2 linked regions of the Tamandua tetradactyla genome follow. The protein of the gene in region 2 binds, or shares a complex with, the protein of the main gene of each other region. Links are inferred from orthologs where the notes say so. Each region holds a gene or a part of one and is shown on either strand. Other genes may lie near its edges.

What was found. Proteins that work in one complex are often made in the same cells at the same time.
Region 1: TREX1 (region 2) and ANP32A share a complex: the UniProt entries of both Homo sapiens proteins name them as parts of the SET complex. The link is inferred for Tamandua tetradactyla from reciprocal best matches to the Homo sapiens genes TREX1 and ANP32A.

Annotation. Positions count from the first base shown.
Region 1 is NC_135340.1:86,157,253-86,168,294, forward strand, and holds the start of ANP32A (acidic leucine-rich nuclear phosphoprotein 32 family member A), read right to left. Parts: upstream 5,092-11,042; 5' UTR 4,788-5,091; intron 4,274-4,787; 5' UTR 4,186-4,273; coding exon 4,120-4,185; intron 1,303-4,119; coding exon 1,153-1,302; intron 924-1,152; coding exon 801-923; intron 1-800. UniProt on the Homo sapiens protein: Multifunctional protein that is involved in the regulation of many processes including tumor suppression, apoptosis, cell cycle progression or transcription. Promotes apoptosis by favouring the activation of caspase-9/CASP9 and allowing apoptosome formation.
Region 2 is NC_135341.1:37,815,735-37,825,927, forward strand, and holds TREX1 (three-prime repair exonuclease 1), read right to left. Parts: upstream 4,380-10,193; 5' UTR 4,063-4,379; coding exon 3,856-4,062; intron 3,617-3,855; exon of another isoform or gene 3,591-3,616; coding exon of another isoform or gene 3,507-3,590; coding exon 2,646-3,506; 3' UTR 2,371-2,645; downstream 1-2,370. Other genes in the region: SHISA5 (protein shisa-5), read left to right, coding at 414-529, 707-919, 1,107-1,186; ATRIP (ATR-interacting protein), read right to left, coding at 4,606-4,673, 5,079-5,331, 5,546-5,626, 6,073-6,164, 6,315-6,451, 8,996-9,679, 9,861-9,990. UniProt on the Homo sapiens protein: Major cellular 3'-to-5' DNA exonuclease which digests single-stranded DNA (ssDNA) and double-stranded DNA (dsDNA) with mismatched 3' termini. Prevents cell-intrinsic initiation of autoimmunity.

The DNA of each region.
Region 1 (11,042 bases), on a different chromosome or scaffold from region 2:
TTCCTTAAAATCAAGGAAATACAGTTCAGATCCCGATAATAGAGAAATTGTTATTCTGGGCAGGATTTATCCCTTTCTAGTTAGTAAATTAGCAAGGTAAGCTTAGCTCTATAAGAACAGTAGAGCTGGAAACCCTAACCCAAGTCTCTGAGATGTTGGTCACAGTTACACCAAGAACCAGTGGCCAGCAGCTGTTCTTCTCCGTGCCATGTAGAGGGAAGTCTGAACAAGGCTCCCACAGCAGACAGTTCTCTGCCACCCCTGCTCCCTGAGAGAACCCAAGCTGCCAGCAGAGCCTCATCATCCAGGGTTTTTGTAACAGGACTAACCGATCTCCCACCATCCAGTCACCAACCTCAGGTTAACGACCCAGGGAAGAAAGGGCACCAGCCTTTGTGATCAGCTTTATTCTTGGATAGTCCCTCCCCCACCTCACCCCCAACAAGGGCACAAGTTATACCATAAGCCTGAAAAAACGGTGGCTCAGGTTTTCAAAGCTAAGTAGAAACTATGAGGGCAAGAGCACTAGACCAATGACTGACAGCAGGGTCCTAACCCCACCTTCACACTGACTGCCTGTTCTGGCTAAGCAAACTTGGTCAAGCTTCTTAACTTACTTTCTTAACTAAACAGAAATAGTTATTCTATCTCATAGCACAGTAAGAAGAATCAAATAAGTACAAAAACAAACAAACAAATAGCAAGTTATATAAATGCAAGGGTAGTATTCCCCAACACCAATTTCTCCCTGCTCCCGCTCAGCCCACCCCAGTGGAGAGGAGAGAGTTCAAATGACTTACCAGTGGCTCTATTGTGCTGAGGTCTCTAATTTTGTTGCCACTTAAATTTAGATGCATGAGGTTCGGACACTTTTCTGCCAATATTTCCAGGCCCCCTGAGATTCTGTTATCACTTAGTTCAAGCTAAACAAGGCAGGGAAAGAAAAAGCAGAAATGGCTCCTAAAACCAAGGCACTCAGTGCAGAGCTGTGTGGATCTCCCCCCATCCAAGAGAAAGGGCAAGTTGTCTCAAGGAATTATCTGGCATGTTGGTGCATGCACCTGGTTTTATACCTGCAATTATGCTCCTGAAACACAAAGTAATCCCTTCCTCCTCCCAACACACACATACTCCCTACACTCTCATATTTACCTTCTTAAGTTTGTTTAACTTTGGTAAGTTTGCGACTGAGGTGAGGCCTACATTGATTGTACTTAAGAACTCCAGTTCTTCAAATTCATCTGTGAGGCCTTCGATTTTGCCTTCATTCGACCGACAGTTGTCCAGGACAAGCTCTTTCACCTGGAAAGGAAAGTTATGCATGAATGGAAGTTAAGGGAAGGCAGAAGTAGTGGAAACGGTGACAGAGAGCCCTCCTTTGTGGGTATGGAGACAGAGCTTTTCTGGTTCTTCTGGATCACTGTTCTGCCAATGATCAAAGGACAGTTCACCTATCCTGGTCTTTCTGCCTTCAGCACTATTGAGGAGAAAAGGAGGGTCGGGTTGCAGAGTTGCCAAACCAGGAAGCCACTTCAGACAGGAGCTTTTGCTGGACTGGAGGAGACAAATCCAACAGGCTCTGTTGCTATGCCCAGGAAGGTGGTTTTATTCCAACCCTAATGCCACATTCTCCCCCAAACCCCATTTAAAACGAAAACACCAGTCCCACAGCTCCCTACCAGGACTGGCCACTATGTTGTTGAGGACCTCTGGGCCTAGGACTCAACACTATCAGATCTCCCCTGACTCCAGTGCCTTTTTTATGACCCCAACCTAACCATCCCAGCTACCTACTTCTGATCCTCACCGCCCCACTTCCTTTTGCCTCCACGAGTCCCTGACCTGCTGCCTGCTGACAGTTTCCCAGATTCACACACATGCTCGCTCTCACCAGCTCCTGACATCAGGCAAAGCCTGCCCACCTGATGCTGGCATTCATCACCAAGGTCACCCATTGGCCTGCTCCACGACGGGCAGCAGACCAGGACTCTTCTTCCTCTCCAGACCAGCACTGTCCAATAGAACATCCAGCAATTTGGGCAATGTTCCTCACTGTCTAAGAGAGTAGCCACTAGCTACATGTGGCTTCTGAGCACTCAAAATGTGGCTAGTGTGACCGATGAACTGAATTTTAAATTCAATTTTAATTAAGTATTAAGAATTATATAGAACAACACAACTTTAATTTTGCTCTTCGGGGTCCTGAGCAAAGAAGTGGGAGGCAAAAATGGAAATCAAGCCACAAACCTAAGGTTGGCCCATGACATGCTGAGGTTGGCAAAGCCTAAAAGGCCTTTGGCAGTACCTCTGACCTCTTATCCCTCTCCAACTCCCTAGAGGTAGTTTTGCCTTATTAGAGTCCTTATGTTCTCCCTTCTCCTCTTACCACAAATTTGAGTCTTAAAACCCTTTATTTCTTGAAGCTGAATGTGAGAATGACAGGCACAAATGAGATCAGAAGGAAAGACAGACGATAAAGACTAAGATGGTATAATCTAGGAATGCCTAGAGTGTACAATGATAGTGACCAAATGTACAAATTATAAAATGTTTTTGCATGAGGAAGAACAAAGGAACGTCAGTATTGCAGGGTGCTGAAAACATGGTAATTCATATTTTAAAAACTTTAATTTATGTGAGACTAAAGCAAAACAATGTTTATTTGGTAAAAAATTTATAATTTGACTAGTGCATTTCCTAATATAAATTGTGTGGACAGTTTAATTGAATACCACAAGTACATGGAACCTTGAGTAGGGCATGAGAGTTTGTAGGTTTGTCCAGAGTGATGCCCCGATGAATCCCAGAGTGATTTGATCAGTGAGTGGAAAAGTATTTGCAAAGTCCCCTTCAGGGAATGGTGAGAATGGGGAGAAATGCAACTTTCCCAAGTTGAATTCTTGATATTCTCACAAGCAGTGTGGACAACCAAAGCTACAGGCTGAGCCCCCAATCTTGGGGTTTGCTCATATGAAACTTAACCCCACAAAGGATAGGTCAAGCCTACTTAAAATTTAGGCCTAAGAGTCACCCCCAAGAGAACCTCTTTTGTTGCTCAGATGTGGCCTCTCTCTCAGTCAGCAGGACAAGCAAACTCACTGCCCCCCCCCCCCCAACGTGGGACATGACTACCAGGGGTGTGGACCTTCCTGGCAATGTGGGACAGAAATCCTAGAATGAGCTGGGACTCAGCATCAAGGGATTGAGAAAACCTTCTTGACCTAAATGGGGAAGAGTGAAATGAGACAAAATAAAGTGTCAATGGCTGAGAGATTTCAAACAGAGTTGAGAGGTTATCCCGGAGGTTGTTCTTACGCATTATTTAGATATCACCTTTTTAGTTATGTTATATTGGAGAGGTTGAAGGGAAGTGCCTGAAAATGCAGAGCTGTGTTCCAGTAGCCATGTTTCTTGAAGATGATTGTATAATGATACAGCTTTCTCAATGTGACTGTGTGATTGTGAAAACCTTGTGTCTCATGCTCCTTTTATCTACGGTATGGACAAATAAGTAAAACATAGGGATTAAAAATAAATAAATAATAGGTGGAACAAATGTTAAATTTAGTAAATTGAACTGCTAGTGATTAATGAAAGGGAATGGTAATGGGAATAGAAAAAAATAGGGGAAACAAAGGCTAAAATATATTGGGTAGATGGAAATATTAGTAGTCCAATGAGAGGGAAAGGTAAAGGGTATGTTATGTATGAGTTTTGTTCTCTTTTCTTTTTCTGAATTAATGCAAATGTTCTAAGAAATGATCACAGTGATGATACTTTGAGTTTTTGACTATATACCAAGAATGGAATGATCATATGCTAATAATGTTCACATTTGTATGTTATGTTTAAAAAAATTAAAAACAAAAACAACTTTTATTTCTAAGGAGACAGAAGGAGGCTTTTAGAAGTAGATTTGTCTTAAATGCAGGAATAGAGTTGCAAGTGAAATTCCAGGCTCTAGTAAAGATGGTAGGAAGATCATCTGAGAGAAAGTAATTAAGTCTCAGGCATGAAATAAACCAGGGCTGAAAAGCTCCTTAAAGGTGATCCCTCAGGGCTGTATCTGATACTCAAAACCCCCTATAATACCCAGCCCAGGATCACAGCCATCCTCACCTTTCTACTACCTGCAGCCTGCCAGGAAACATTTACTGATGTCTCCTGGGACTTCCAGACTTCCATCCACAGGTCCTGATTTTTCACCAATAGCTCACATGGAACAGGTTTGTCCTCAATAGTAGCCCTCCAATTGTCTGAAGTCTTTTCTTCTCTTAGACAGGCAGATGGACATTCAACCCAGCCCTTGTCTAGGGCAGTTCCTTCCCTCCCACCCTCCACAGTGCCCCAGGCTCTGAGCAGGCCAGTTTGTCTAGCTTCCAAAGGGTCCAAGATGACCACAGCTTGTCACAGTCCTCCAGGTGGGGTAGAAAGAATAGTGTCTCCCTCCTACTCAGGCATCTCTGAGCCAAGCGGAAACTTGGAAGAAGAGCTGGGGACAGGATACCCAGCCTCCCCTTGGTCCATCCCTGCCAGCAGGGGACCCCTGAGGGCACACCTGCATCTGAGTCCTGCAGGGGCCCACAGCTACTCTGTTTCCAATTTTTCCTCAGAACAGAGGCAGAGCACCCTGTCTCAGCCAGCAGCAGTTTTTAGGTTTGATCTGGCATAGATCACAGAGGATAAAACCCAGGGAATGGCAGCTCTTTCCCAGAGATACCCTGGCCACCAAGGCCCACCTTTCTGAAATTGGTTCTGAGATGAAATAAGTTAAGTTCCTTTCTTACCCTCCTCAAGCCCCAGGAGAGGCTAGATGGCCAGGTCAAACCACCTTCTCAAAGTTGTTGGCCAAGAGTGCCTGGGAATAAATTCTGTGAGGCCTTCTGCTCTCGGACAGGAAAACAATACAGAGTCAGGAAGCCAGGCTGTAGGAGATCAGAGCGAACATACAGAAATCAACTATATTGAGGGAGGGAGGGGGAACCATCGCTTTCATTTGCAGTAAACACTGGAGTCACAAGGTCTAAAAAAGAAGTTAATAAAGAAGACTAAACAGTCTTCTTTAGTAACTGGCTTCCTTGGAAGGCCCTGGGAATTCTTTTAAGCTCCCACAAAGAAAGACAAATATGAAAAGGGATTCCAGTCCACCCTCAAAGATTTCAGACGTGGTTTTGCTAGATGGGTCAAGGGCTTCTCCTCTTACTGCCATTAACCAAGGAGAGGAGAGCCTCAGAAATGGGGGAAGGGAGTGCTGGGGAGTCAGGGAATTCCTCCTGGAAGTTGGCCTCTTTCCCAGAGAGGCACAATACTGCCTGCCACTCCTGCTGGCAGCCTAGGAATACTACAGACACAGGGCAGGGTTTCAAAGCTCAGACCAGGATACTTCCCAGCTCCCAACACCACACCCAAACTCGGGGACAGTACACAAGCCACTGCCATTACTAACTTTATTACTAATAATCCCAGAATCTTTCTTGAGCCTTTTCAGGCACACTCTAGGTATATCACATGCATTATATTGGGGTAGTCTCCTCATCTTATACTCACAGCAGAACTACCTATCTGAAAGTCCCAATTAATATGGTTGAATGAGACACTTCAGGGCTCTGTTCCCCCACAGAAGCTTTGAACGACCAGCAACAACTGGCAAAAATAATCTTTCTTAAGTTCTAGAAAACAGTTAAACGACTGCAGTAACAGGTCAAGAACCGAACCAAACCAAGAAAAAGACAAATTAAAAGTAACAGGATCTTTCGAAGCTCTGGCTGGTCAACCTGCACTCCCAGTGTGAGCTCTGGGCCTGGTTACAGAAGGAGCAAAGTAACCCTCTTTGACATACGGGGAACATGTATGTCTGGCCTGACCTATCCGGTGGTGACTTGAGGGATTTGCTGTCCCAGAACTTGGCTTGCATGTAGAGGAGGCAGTTCACTGAGGTCTCCTACAAAGCATTGTGGGAGAGCAGTCAAGCCGTGCTGCCTGGAGCAAGGGGTTGCTGGCTGTAGGACAAACAGTACTGTGCCCAGAATGGTGAGAAAACAGTTTTCTAGGGATGAGGGGACACGTGGAACCGCATACATGAGGGAATTTCTAGGGCCGTGAGCACATGCCCAAGGTAAGAGGCCCGTAGGAAAAGATCAAGGAAGCCCCAGGCTTTGGCTTGGAGCTATTCTCCAAATTGACTGTGCAGATAAGCTCTGAAGGGCAGCACTTGCATAGATCAATCTGCTAAGACTGGGAAAGGTGTTTCCTTTTTTACTGTTAATTCCTGGCATTCAAAGAAAGCACTATCAGAATACTAGCTTGATAAAAGCTTAAGGAATTGGGGACTCAAAATCTAAATTTCAAGATAGCACACTAAAATATCAAAATAGCCAGGTTTCACAAAAGACTGTAAAACATACAAAAGATACAGGAAGAGATGGCACAGACAAGAGAGAAAATTAAAGCCTTAGAAACCATCAATGAGGAGAACCAGATCTGAGATGTATCAGTCAGATTTTTAAAAATCAGTCCCAAATATACTCAGGATGCTGAAGGAAAACATGGACAAAGAACTAAGGGAAATCAGGAAAAGGACAGATGAACATAAAGAGAACAGAGAGATGGAAATTATGAAAAGGAACCAAACAGAGCTGAAAAACCATAGTAACAGAAATGTAAGTTCCCAGGAAGGGTTCAACAGCTTATTGGAGCTCGCAGAAGAAAAAATCAGTGGGGCTTGAAGACAACAGAAATCATCCAGTCTGAGGAGGAGAAAAAAGAAAAAAATGAAGAAAAGTGAACAGAGCCTGAAGAACCTGTGGGACATCATCAAGCTTATCACCATTGTGGGGGTCCCAGAAAGAGAGGAAAGGGGCAGAGGGAATATTCAAAGAAATAATGGCTGAAAACTCCCCAAATTAAGCAAACACATGAATATACATATTCAGGATGTTCAATGAACTCCACACAGGATAAAACCAAATAGATCCATGCCTTGCCATGTTATAATCAAACTGCTGACTGCCAAGGATAAAGAGAGGATTCTTAAGACTACAAAAGAGAAGCTAAATGCCACATACAGGGGTGCCTCAATAAGATTCAAGTGCTGGTTTCTCTATGGAAACCAAGGAGGCAGGAAGGCACTGAAGACAGATTTAAAATGCTAAAAGCAAAAAAAAAAAAAAAAATCACCAAGCAAGAATTCTGTATCCAGCAAAACTGTCTTTCAACAATGAAGGAAATGTTGTGATATACTTTGAAATTTATTGCTTTTATGTATATATATGCTATTTAAAGAAGAGACGTATAACAGAGAAGAAAGGATTTAACAAATGAGTATGACTCCTGAATCATTATATTGATATTTCTGTTGGTCTCTAGTGTCTTAAGAGCAGCTACAAGAAAAAAAATAAAATAAAATTGTGGAACCATAACCAATACCAAACATGAAAATTTGTTCTATAAGTACTTGTTAAAATGTACTTGGAAATTTATTGCTTTTTTGTGTGTATGTTATATTTCACAATTTAAAGAAAATATTTAAAAAATGAAGGAGATTACATTTCTGAATACAGTTAAAAAGGGAGAAATTTTAGTTGGTATGTTACTAAAATAAAAAAAAATAAATAAAAAGAGGAAGGAACTAAGACACTCACAGACAAACAAGAACTGAGGGACATTGTAATCAGTTATCTGACCTTATAAGAAATGCTAAAGGGAGTTCTTCAGTTGAAAGGGAGGAACACTAGACACTGATTGAAGCCATAGGAAGAAATAAAGATCTCCAGTAAAGACAGTGAAATGAGTAAATATAAATACCCGCACTATCATATTTTAAATTTGAAACTCCACTTTTTGCTTCCCACAAATAATCAACGGTTTTGGATTTATAACGTATAAATATGTAATCTATGACAAGAATTACACAAAGGTGAGGTGATAGAGGGGTACAGGAACACAGTTTATATATGCTCTTAGAAGTTAAGGTGGTATCAAAGCAAATGAGGCTGCTAAAGATTTAAAATGTTATAAGCCCCATCATAACCACAAAAAAAAATCAGAAAACAGGGTAGAGGTTGTCAGAGGTGGGGAACAGGGGAAATGGGGAGTTAATGTAAAACGAGTGTAGAGTTTCTGTTTGCGGTGGAGGGAAAGTTCTAGTAATGGATGGTGGTGATTAAGTGAATAGTATCCTTGGGAGGGACTGGGATGGATAAATTTATGTTATATATATGTTTTCACATTTAAAAAAGAATTAAAAGCAATGTATGATACTGGATGGGATATAAGAATGGAGGAGAAAAGGTTCAAAAAGACATTATTGGGACACAAGAAAATACGAGAATGTAAAATGTAAGGTATATATCAATATTAAATTTCCTGAACTTGAAAACTGTACTTTGGGTAATTTCATAAATGAATATCCTTGTTTGTAAGAAATGTACATGGAATTATCACATATTTAAGCAGTATGATGTATGCAACCTACTCTCAAATGTTCAGACAACAGCTAGATAGATACAGGCAGACAGACAGGATAAATGGAAGATAGAAGGATATGTCAAAGGTGGCAAGATGTTAAAATGGTAGATCTGGGTATCTGGGGGCGTGGGGGTATGCTGGAGTTTTCTGTATGGGGTCTGTGTTATTTTTGTAACTATACTGTGCGTGAGTCTGATATTATTTTAAAATATGAAGTTTTGGTTGTTTTTTTTTTTTTTTAATAAGGTAGGAGTTGGGGTGAACCACTTATCCTAAAATCTCAGGACTTGACCCTAGAGGGGTACATACTAATCAAGGTGGTCAGTGTTGGCTTTAAAGATGAAATTTATAAAGAGACTGTTCAACTCAACAACAGTAAGACAGCCAACCCAATTACAAAATGGGCAAAAGACTTGAACAAACACTTCTCAGAAGAGGAAATACAAACGGCCAAAAGGCACATGAAGAGATGCTCAACTTCCCTGGCTATTAGAGAAATGCAAATCAAAACCACAATGAGATATCATCTCACACCCACCAGAATGGCCATTATCAATAAAACAGAAAAAAAAAAAAAAAAAAAAAAAAAGATGAAAAGGGCACAAACTCTCCCAGAACATCAACTCAAGTGTAGAAGTTCCCTTAACCACAACTGTTCCCTTTAACCCCTTTTCCAGCTGTCCCATTAGCTGGGTGGGCGCCACTTCTAGCAGTCCCAGATGTTACACAGTCCTTTGGTTACACTTCCTTGGTAACCAAAGGACAAAACCCAGCTGGGCCCTTGCTCAGATGATGCTGCAGTCAGAAAGCAAGAATCTGGAGGGACCCTGAAGCGTCTGGGAACCAAGCTCTCTCCTCCAGGAGCTGAAAAGATGTTCCCATTCACTTGAGAAACCCTATGGTTTCTGAAGGACCAGATGGCTGTTAATAGTCGAGGTAGTAGAGTCTCTGGAATGCCCACTGCATGTGTACTTCCTTCCTGGTAGGGGTTTCAGCACTGTTTGAGGTGAGATCAAAGAGAAAAGGGAGAGGTCAGGACTTTGATTTTGAGGTTGGTGAATATCACCAAAAAGCCTAAAGCCACATGGTGGGGAGCCCACGACTTCTTCTGCAAGGCAAGGCAGGATGGTGTGTTACACTGGGGACAGCAGGATAGGCTGCCTGTGAAGTGTCTAAACAAATCAAACAAGGCAAAGCAAAATCACCAGCTCAACAGTTGACCTGTGAATGTTACTTAGCCCATCCCCCACCTCCATGGAGAGTCTCAGGATAGGCTAACATGTTTCAAAACTTCTGACCCCAGAGATTTAAGATTCTTAACTCCTTCTGTTGCAATTCCAACCCCATTCCTCTCATCTGTACTGGGCAGCCTCTGCTCTAAAAACCTTCAAAATGAAAAGAACATACCTTTCACATCCAGGGTGTGTTCTGTTTAAAAAAGAAAGAAAAGGAAAAAAAAAAAAATTAAGGCCCATTTCCTTTGCCAAGTCCTGGGTGTGAGCTAAGTGCAAAGTTAAAGGAGTTAAAATTAAACTGAAAATTTGTACTTTGGGTTTAGAGTTACAATACTACTGGCCATTTAAAAATATCTGAATGTGGTTACTTTCTCTAGTCCAACAACTGGAATTACTCAGTATAAAGAACTTTCAATCCCCTAAAACAAACCTACACAGGATTGTATGCTTCATTCTTCAAATTTAACACTCAAGAGGACCCCTCATATTCATAATACTCAGTCCCCAAAAGATGTGACTGGGAAGGCAATGAAGATTCCAAAGAAATCAGATTGCGGGAAATGGAGTAGGTGGTAAAATGGCTGAGGGGCTCAGCAATGCCAGGGCCCCTGAATTTCCTGAAAAAACTTGATCCCAAGTAAGGGGACACATCAGTCATTTCTCAACAATGGGAGCTGAAATTCTGATTATAAACATGTATGTGTTACTAACTCTTAAGGAACAACCATTGCTTATTTCAAAACTGTGAAATCTTGTCCTTAAAACTCTTAAATTTGACCTTTCCTCTCCATTCTCAATATTGCAGCCCTGGTCCCTGTCATTTCAAGCCTGTTTTTGCCTCCAAAGCAGGGCTCTGTGACTGGGAGGAAGGAAGTGGTGAGGAGGCAGCCTGGACCACTTGGAAATAAGCTTTGACGTGGAGTCGAAGGACCAACCGGCTCAATGACCTAGCTATATCGCCAAGCACGATATTCTGCCTCTACAGAAAGGAGATAATATCTGTTTAACTTACAAAGTGCAAACTCCAGCCTACAGAAAATATTCCTGGCTTCCCACTGCTCCTGGAAAAAAAATTCAAGTCCCTAAACATAATCTACAAGGCCCCCCATTCTCAACCCCCCAATCCCCATTTCCTCCAATCTCATCACTTCCCACCTCACCCTTGAACTACAACTCTAGTTCAAATCCCCCTCGCCAGGAAGCCTTCCCATCACCCAGCTCTGAGCATCCTGGGGGTGAGGGCAGCCGCCACATGAATCATTTAATTGTCTATTAAGCATTCGATCCTCCTCAGTCAGGGATTGTCCTCTGTAATCAGCCTAATGGGGAGCTGGACACTAA
Region 2 (10,193 bases):
GGACTTGGTCTGTCTCTTCCACTGCTGAGATTTTGGCTCAGATCACACACTGCCTGGCTTATTGCACGAGTTCCTTGAACAACCGCTGATTCGTTGATATTTGCAGTGGTTGGGGTGGGGGGAAGGGGCGCGGAAAGGAGATGCTTGAAGAAACCCCCTCCCAAGGTCCTTAGGGTGGGACTAAGGGAGGCAGTCTCTGGGTGAGGTGTTTACATATATTCACAAACCACCCCATTTTACACTTGGGGAAACTGAGGTTGAAACTGGTTCAAGCTACATACCAGGAGGTTGCTCTGCCTGTATTGCACAGGGTCTGTTCTGGCAAGCGGGGTGCCCCTGGGAATGGATGAGTTGTGGACTGCTCGTCCTGGGAACGGCTTAGAGGCCCTTGGTCATGACTGGCTCCTTGGCAGGTTCGGGGCGACCGTGGCCATCGGCCTGACTATCTTTGTGCTCTCTGTTGTCACCATTATCATCTGCTTCACTTGTTCCTGCTGCTGTTTGTACAAGATGTGCCGACGACCCCGTCGTAAGCATGCCCATCCCCACCCTGCCTCCTGTGGTTTCCTGTGTGTGGGTGTAGACTTTTGGGTGGGCAGAGGAAATTAACCAGGGTTCTGCTTTGGCTGAACTGGAGGGTGGGGTGGCAAGCCTGGCCCCCAGGACCCAGGGAGACGGAGAGTCCTGACCAGGGTTCTCTTTGCAGCGGTTGTGACCACCACCTCATCCACCACTGTGGTGCACAGCCCATACCCACAGGCTCCCAGTATGCCACCCGGATACCCTGGACCGACATACCAGGGCTACCACCCCATGGCTCCCCACCCAGGGATGCCAGTGGCATCCTACCCGACGCAGTACCCACCGCCCTACCCGACCCAGCCCTTGGGCCCGCCTGCCTACCAGGAGACTTTGTCTGGTGAGTACCACAGCCAACTCTGTGACCCCCTTGACCCCTGAAGTCCGGACTCCCCCTTCAGATCCCTCCCAGGGCATCCATCCCAGAGTGCATGGCTCAGTTAGGTCCTCTACCCCTTCCTGCTGGTCTGCCCACTCCACGGTAGCCCATGATGCCCACAACCAACCAGTGTCCTCTTTATTTTCAGGAGATGCAGCCATGCCCTACCCCATTAGCCAGCCTCCTTACAACCCGGCCTACATGGATCCCCCAAAGGCGGCCCCCTGAGCAGTCTGGCTGCCACTGTGATTGTGTTGTGTGTGTGAGTAGATTGGTGGGCACGTTTATTTCCTGCCCCATGCGTGGTGTGCATATGTGTGTTCTGTCTCTACACATGCTTCCTTTGATGCTGTTGAGGTTGGAAATAATCTTTGCCAGAGTGGGCTTGGACTAAACTTTTTGTCCTCCTATTCACTTGAAATCATGCTTTCTGAAATCTCAAGCAAAACTCAGAAGAATTGAGGTGGTGGTATTTTTTAGAATGCCTCACGGAGATCAGGTGGGGCTTCTCTCGTGGGGATAGCAAAGCATTTTGTGGACAAGACATGTGTCCTTGTTTTGGCAGAGTAGCCAGTCTCTGCTCAATGCCACAGCTTGGCCCCAGGGTGTGAGGTGCCCTTCCTAGTGCCAGAGCCAAGATGCCGGCAAGTGGGCAAAGTTTTGGATCTGACTGAGTTAGGTTTCAAGCCTTTGGGGCAGATGCCCATAGCCTGGGGTTGTGGGCCAAGGGGCTCTGGCAGCTTCTTGATACCAAAACATCTCTGGCAGGGCCCCACCCACTCTGGACCATTCTCAGGGCCAGTTTTGGCATGTGACAGTTGTTTGGTGGACTCTCCCTATGCCCTGCATCCTCCCTGGGACCACCTGGACGTCCACGTCCACCCATGGTTACGGCTGCCCTTGGGGAAGCTTTCCTGCCCTTGCTGGCCCAAACTCCTGCCACAGGTTGGCAGGGTGGCCTCTGTCCGCCAACAGACTCAGGTCTCTTCCCTGCAGTGTTTTACTTTTAGCCAAATATTACCCACTGTGTTCTGTTTCCAAGTGTGTGTGATGTTTGCTGTGAGGCTGAAACCTCTGGGTCCTGGGGAGAAATCGTCTTACAGAAAAGAGGAAATATAGCTTCTCGTAGTCCCTACTTCCCCAGACACCACCCCTACGGTGATCCAGCTTCTTGAACCTCAGTCCACAATTCATACTGGCAGTGGGGACACCTGGACCCAGGGGCCATCTGGACCGAAGGTGGGCAGTGCCCTTGGATGGCAGCTCTGGCCTAGACATGAATACCCTGGTGTTCCCCATCCCTTTTGTTAATGTTTCACCAGAAATGTCTTAGCTTTGTATCTGCTAATGTGTTTCTAAGAAAGGATCTGTGGTCTATATACTTCTTTATAATAAATACAAATTTGGAGCGGCAGCCCCTTTCTTCATAGCCTTGGCTGTTGGGATGTACCATTTCCATTCAACACTTACAATTTCAGTTTTTGACCAGGTTCTACTTTTATTGGGCTTAGACTTCTGACCATCCTGCTGGGAAGGGTGGAAGACAAAGACTGTGCCACGGTCTGTGATCTCCCCTCCTCCCCCAGGTTCCTGTGTGGGCAGAGGCCCAGGTTGCAAAGGAGGGCAGGAGGCGAGTGACCAGGTAGTGCTGTTGGGGTCTTTATTAGTCAGATTTTCCTTGTTGGCCTTACTGCCCAGGGATACTCAGGGACAGCCCATACAGTATGGCTATTAACAAGGTCAGGAGGGTCAGTAGGCCCAGTGGGGCCAGCAGCCCCTTCTTGGGTAGGGCTCCAGGGCCCTTCACTGGAGGAGGAGACTTGGACTTCCTGCCCACCCTTGTGCTGGGACTGGTGTCTTTGGGTACAGCCAGGGGTGCGGTGGCTTTGGCAGCAGATGACCTAGGGTTGGTCCCAGTGGAGGCTGTGACCATGTACATGGGTTTGATAGTGCTGAAGGGCCTAGCGTGAGCATCCACCCACCGCAGCAGGGCCTGTGGCCTCCACTGACAGATGCTGAGCAGGGCCAGGACGTCACCCTCAGCTGTGTGCGAGTCTGGTGGGCTCTGCCCAAATAGGCGTGTGTAGATGCTGCCCAAGCTGTAGCTCTTTCTTGGGCCATGCGCAGAGGGGCTGCTGCCTCGCTCCAGGGCCTTCAGGGCAGCGATGCTGTCCACGCAGAAGGCACCATCCAGTGTGTTGGCAAGGCCCACTGCAGCCAGCTCTGCCTGGAGCAGGGGGAAGTCATAGCGATCACCGTTGTGTGCTACCAGGCACCAGGGCTGTGGCTGGCGTTGTAGGAAGGTTTGGAGCAGGTTGGCCAGGTCGGCATTGAAGCGCTGCCGCCCATGTGCTGCCAGCATAGCCGTGCTCAGGCCCGTGATGTTGCTGGCCGCAGGGCTGCAGACCTTCCCTGGAGCCACGCAGAGGGAGAGCTTGTCTACCACCCGGGGTAGTGGAGGCACTGTAGGGGTTGGCCCCTGGGGCGCAGGGGGGCTCTCCAGGGCACATCTGTGGATGGCTAGCAGGCACAGTTCCGTGACCTTGGGCTGGGAAAAGGGCAGGCCAGTGGCCTCCAGGTCCAAGAAGATGAAGGTCTGCATGGGACCCGGGGGTGGGGCCTGTGAGCCCATGGTGGGGCAAGTACCTGCCGCTGAGCCTGGGGAAGGGGTGGGGCATTGTGAATGCTCCTGTGGAAAAGTTATCTAAGGTGGGGAGGGCAGGAAGCTGGGGAGCGGGGGAGCTTCCTCAGTGGGAGCATACACTCTATCAGTTTGGAGGGAGGGTGGGCCTGTCTTCTTCATGTGGGTTTGGCCCCCTCCCCCAGTGCTCACCTAGCCTGGTGGGGCTCCCCACAGCCATCCACCCTGTCCCATCCCCCTGGGGGTCTGCACTCACCGAATAGCAGGCAGGCACAATCACTCTGGCGTGCTCTGGCTGGTTCTCGCCAAGGGCCAGCAGTGGCGGGAAGTGAAACTCAGCCTTTGCCCGCCCACAGGCCCGCGTGAGCAAGGCCCGCCCTGCTCTTCTCTTAGCCTGCCTGGGCCTCTCTCGCCAACACCCGTTCCCTCCCCAGGCAACCCTCCCTTCCCCCCTAGCTGCCATGGCACCCTTAAGGCTTCTTAGATCCACAGCTGTGGACTTGCCAGCTGACACCAACTGAAAATACAAGGGGTGCCCAGGCTGTCTGGGGAGGCTAGCTCCATGACTCAAACACTGCTGGGAGCTCCTGCTGTGACCCTTTTGTGCCCACCCCTCGGCTCCACTTTCCCAGACCTCCCTGGTTTAGGCCTGGGCTGAAGGCCACCTCCTTCCCTGCCTTACACTGATTTCTTCCCATGGCCCCAGCCCAAAACAATGACTCAGGACAATTTCACAGGCTGGGCAGAGCTCTTTCCTCAAAGCAGATTAGTTACCATGGGGATGGGGTCTCAACTCTGGGCAGGGACAGGAGGAAGGATCCCAGCCTTCCCTGGGACCAGTCCTGTTCCATCCCTCCCACTCAGACAAACACAGACAGACTCAGGAAACACAACACCAAGGCTGGCATGTTCTTGGCAAGAACAACCTGTCACAGCTTTTAATCAGTTGATGAGATGAGGAAAGCAGGAGTGCTGGCGCCACCATGTGGCATGATGCTCACGGACCTCAGCCACAGTCCATCTCGGGGTCGTCTACATCTGTCTCAGCAGCACAAAGGTCATCCAGGGCTGCCTCTGAGTGAAAAAGAGGGTTCTATGATGAAGGCTTGAAAGTGCTGGGGAATAGGGGAGGTCCCACCTCTCCTCCCCCAAAACCCGCAGGAACTAACCAGTCCCTTCCACGCCCAGGCCTTGCTCCCTCAGCTACTGCAAGCAAAGTGATACAAAGGCAATTCAGATAGGGATATCTCTGGAAAAACCGTGGCTCTGCCAGGCCAACTCAACAAAACATATAAGCAAACGGCAGTTCAACGTGTCTAAAAGAACTGGAGCAAGACAATGAGACTGTCGCCAGTGTTGTAAAGAGCTGTGGTGGATGGAGGACTGCTGAAGGAAGGCAAGAAGTCTAACCTGTCCATGAACTTCAGGGAAAACCCCACATGAGGGCTAGGACAGGGCTGGGTTCTCTTGCCCACTCACCTTCACAGTCTGTCACATCAGGGAGCCCTCGAATGAGCGTGCTGACCCCTGGCATCACCTGGTCATACTGATGCAGGACCTCCACGCAGTGCACAGTAAAGAGCTTGTCCTTCTGGGACAGGCTGTGCAGCAGCAGCACTGTGTCCCGCAGACATCGTACTATTCGCTTATGCCGGTCAGTCTTTGGAGGCCCCTCTGCCCTCCGCACCGTTAGCCACTGTCTGTGCAGCATCACTGTGAGTGCTCTGACAGCCTGGTGGAGGGTGCAGACTGAGGTCAAGTCTTTCAGCTGCCTGCACCCTAACAGCTCACGAGGCTGACCAGCACATTTCCCACCCACCCAGGAGAGGAAGGTTCTGAGTGATGGGTAGCATGATTAAAGGGAGCATAGGGTCCTTGCCCAGGGCCACCTTATCCACCAACAGAGCTGCCATGCTGTCAGCCCCTGCCCGCCCCTGTCCACTCACCTCCACATTGCACTGGCAGTTGGAGCCAGTGGCTGGGGAGGAGGGGCTCTGCACACCAAGCTTAGTCAGAAGCCACACCGCCTAGAACAAGAAGACTGTTCTGTAGCCACCATAATGAGGCCCTGATTATAAGCAAGGGCTTTCTCAGGCTTCTAAAAGAGCTCCAGCTTGTTTGCACAAATGGGGTCCAAGGGTGCTGGGCTTTTCTGGGCCAGACTCACAACTGTCATGTGTCTCTCCAAAAACCCCATTTGCCTCCAGGTCCTGCTCAAGTCACCAGACCCAAAGTCAGAACAGGCTTAGTCATCAGGTAACTCTGGCAAGTCCCAGGACAACCTGGCATGCACCTGCATGGCATGGGGTCCCCAAACCAAGTTCACCTCCTCAGCTGCCTGATAAACTCTTACCTAAATGAATTAAAGCTCCCACGCTTCTCAGGATGGGAAGGATAGAGAAAGGAGGTTCCGTGGGGCCTTGGCATGAGTGGGATGGTGAGCAGTCCCTGGAAAGGTCTCTGGAGATTTTACCTCTTGTTCCAGCTGAAGCCACTGTGTCTCTGAGGCCACTCTGTCAGGCCTTGATGTGATGTACGTGTACAGCAGAAGGAGGAGGCAGCCTTCTGAAAAGGATGCCCACCTCTCACTCAGAGCCCCCTTCTCACCCAGAGCTCAGGGTATGAGCTGCAGAAGCCCCCAGGAGGCCCTGACCCTCCACAACCTTTCCCTCCAATCTGCAGCAGCCCAGATGTCCACCCACCACCCCATTTTACCTGAGTGGGAACAGAGCTGAGGGGTGAGCTTCTCGTGGTCCACCAGGAGAGAGAGGAGCTTAATGGTCAACAGCACACTAGGCAGGGGTGTCTCTGGGCTGAGACACTGTGGCAGCACCTGGAACATACACTGGAACCTAAAAAACAAGGGTCCAGAGAGATGTAACACTTCCCAACCCCAATCTACCATTCACCCTCACTTTTCACTACAGGCAATGGGAAATCAGATCACAGCAGTACAAAGAAGAGACTCAGTTCATCCAGACTTGGGTTTGAATGCTGACTACCACCTACTTGCTGTGAAACTCATTTTTTTCATGAAAACAGGGGTACTGACCTTTATTGGACTGCTGTGGTTAGAGATGACAGTCCCTCACCTGATACTGCATCACGCAGGAAATGGGAGCAAACTCCCTGGACCCAGGAGGCCTGGCTTCCACCCAGCTCCTGGGCTCTTTCTTGCCATTGATACCAAATATGGTACAAGCCATTATTTGGTGTGAGAGAAATATTCTAGGCCCACCATCAAAGGACTGAACAGAGCTCCTGCTGTGACAAATGTGGACTTCACTATGGTTGGAACCGATGAGATCACACTCAGAGCAAGGAAGACCATTTGTCAGAAGACATCAGGCTCCTCTGCTGCCAAGCGTGAGGTGTCTGCAGTGGCCTTGTGCACTGACGAAGGGCTCTAGGCACACTCTCTCCCAGGTCCCAGGGGCAAAGGGATGACTTTTACCAAGGAACCAAATCCCAACACAACCACTGCAGTTTGCACAGTCCACACAGCTCAGGGGAGTATGAGGCAGGACTAGCTTGGTAGGTGGGAGGGCAATTCTAAAACAACCCCTGGGTCTAGCTTGTGCATACCTTTCATGCACCTGCAGGGTGTTAGCACAAAGCCCAGTGGACCAAAATATTCCTCAGTATGTCATTAGAAGCAGAGTCTCATTCTATTTTGGGTGAACTCATTTAGAGCAAATCCTACACAGCAGACATGCTACATGTTCTTCAGTTGCCAAGTTATGTGGGATTTTGTGGGAAACTGGAATTTAAATAAGGTTAGAACTGATTCCGAACTAGTCCACTAAAGCCCCTGAAACTACTTGGGCGAAAGTCCACCTTCATATATGACACAGGGGTTTCCAATTTACTTTTCAATAGCATGGGAACCTTCTTTTTAAGTGAAGTTTTTGGTAAAGTTCCAATATACCAAATAGGTAACACGCTGATCTGGTTAAATTGGGAGTGAACTCTTATTTGCTCAGAACCCCTGCCAGTCCCTGGGGAACAACCCTGGACCCCTAGGGCTACTAGAGACACAGTAGGAAAGATAAAGATATGAGGGGATAGTTAAGGACCATAAGACAACTGCAGCCTTCTTGATTATTGGTATTGCATCACATTGCTTTAGAGCCTTGAGAATCCTGTTCCTGCTTGGTTTTCACTCCAAAGCAGACAGGCAGCCATGTGGTAGTGGAGTTCTACTTAAGCACAAAAAGCAGGAAAGAATTCTGAAGAGACTCACTGGTGTGAGACAGTGATCAAGGACAATGACTCTGGAGACTTGACACCTGGCCTGAAACTCACCCTCATCCATACTACACTTCCTACAGTTTAGCATTTATTCACTCACCAAATACTTACAATAAGCCAGGCTCTGCACTAGGTATGAGGAAGCAGGGCTATGAGGGTGTCACGGGAGCTAATGAATGGAAGGCCGCTGGCACAGTATCTGGCCTATAGTCAGCACTCATTAAATGGCTGTTTTTAAATGTCCTCGTGGAGAAGCTCAACAGGAATGGAATGTTGGTGTGCCTGCCAAAAAAGCTGGTGAAAACTTGGTTTCTGGAGTTGATTCATTAAAGAACAAATATGAAATGAGCAATCAGCTACTATGAGCTAAGCACCAGGGTTGTGTCCCCCACTGTGCCGCTCCTCCTACACTGCCGTACTGTGTTCAGAGTGAGCACTGCTTTCAGGATGGACCAGACCAATCAGAATGTATTCAGATGCAAACCAGAATCCAGCAGTGTTTTAAGGAACTCAGAGATGAGAAGACTTAAGATACTCCTAGCCAGTGGAGTCATTCCAACCTAGGAACTGGCCCCTTGGAGTGCTCTGCAGGAGACTGAATTACTGGATGGAGGGTGGGCTGCAAGGTGTTTACAGTTCTTCCCAGTCTTGAGGTCCTGGCATCCCAAGCTAGGATTTTTCTACCACTTCCAACAAACCTCAAGAGGAACAGGAAGCAATCTGTAGCTCATGCCAGAGGCAGGCACAGTGATGATTAGACTCCCAGCAGGGCCCACTCCCCATATCTTCTGCTTCCTTACGGAACCCTACCAAAATTAACTGTGGCTGTGTGGCCTTCACCTGATCCATGCCCCAGGTTCAAAGACCTCTTGGTTCAGCCTTTGGTCCTAGGGGCAGGACCCTCTTCCATAGTAGCTAACAGCTTCCTTTTCTTATGCATGCCTTCTGTTTACCTGCTGTACAGAAGCAGAATTAAACCAAATAAACCACTTTCTTGGTTCTCCCAACACCTAGCCCTCCCTGAACCAAGTCTTAGAACTGAGCAGGGTAAATAAATCAAGGATGGGAACAAAGTACAAGAGTTCACAGGCTAGACCTCGTAAGTAAGACCCATAAGGAACCATAACTCCCACCCTGCTTTATACCTGGGCAAAAAATCAAACGAAGCATTTTCAGCTAATTTCACGAAAACCTTAAGACACTGGCTCAGGACACTGGCTTGCACATGACCTGCTGCTGCAGAAGAGAAGGCCAACAGGTGAAGAAGCATCTTCAATAGTGGATGCTGAGCTTGGTCATCAGCAACCTCCTTTGGAACTGAGGTCATATCCTCATGACCATGTCTGTGAGCTAGGCTCTCGTTTCTGTTTCTAGAATCTGCCCCAACTCCCGACAGTAACAGGCAGACAACTGCTCCGCTGTGGCACACAAGGTGCTGAAGAATGCTAAGTGAAGCAACAGAGAAGCCTTCCAGGTTGCAAAGTGAGTCCTCGGGGCCGGCCTCTACCCCAGAGCTCACACAAGAGGAATGTGTCTGTGAATCCCCAGGTGCTCCACTTCTCTTAGTTGCTGTCAAATCGTGCAGGGCCTGGCAATGTAAGCCGATGAAGAACTGTACGAGGGGGAGGAGATGCACGGCTCCAGGAAGCTGGCAGAGTGGGAAGGCCCGTCTACTTCCCTCTGCTGGGTCTTGGTCACATAAGCCTTCATCCCTGGCAACCAGATTCAGTCCAGTGAATGCCAGGCTCTGTGCTTCTCTCAGGGATGAGAGAGAAAATGACCCATCACGAAAACTTGTGGTCCTGAGGCCCAAAATCCCAGCCACAGCACTAGCAACAAACATAAAAGAGACAAGTTTGGAATGGAGAGGTCAAAGGCCCCAAACAGCCTCCCTGCCAAACTCTAGTCTCCCTGCCCAGCCCACAGATCTCCCAAGCTGGCCAGGGCCAGAAGGGGCTTGTTTCCTGGCAACTCTTTCCCAAATGAGCTTTTCAGAAGCCTTACACTTACCTGCCAAACCCTGGTGGCTGCAAGAGGGTGCCAGTAGGCAGCTCAGAATAACTGCTCAGGAGGTGGCACAGTCCTAGGGATGACCCTGGGATCAAAGGCTGCTTCAGAAGCAGATTTATCAAAACGGAACCTGCAGAAGACAAGGTGACTCTAGAAGGTTCTGACATGGCAGTCTTTTTCTAAGGCCTCAGAAGAAAAAGCTGAGGGTTTTGTGGATTCCAACTGCCTTCTAAGTCAAGGATCCATTATGTTGCCTGTCAGTGCTGAAAGCTCTGGGACAGCCTATTCTTGGCCTTTTCCTATTTCATAAAGTTGTCTGCTTAAGTCACAGAT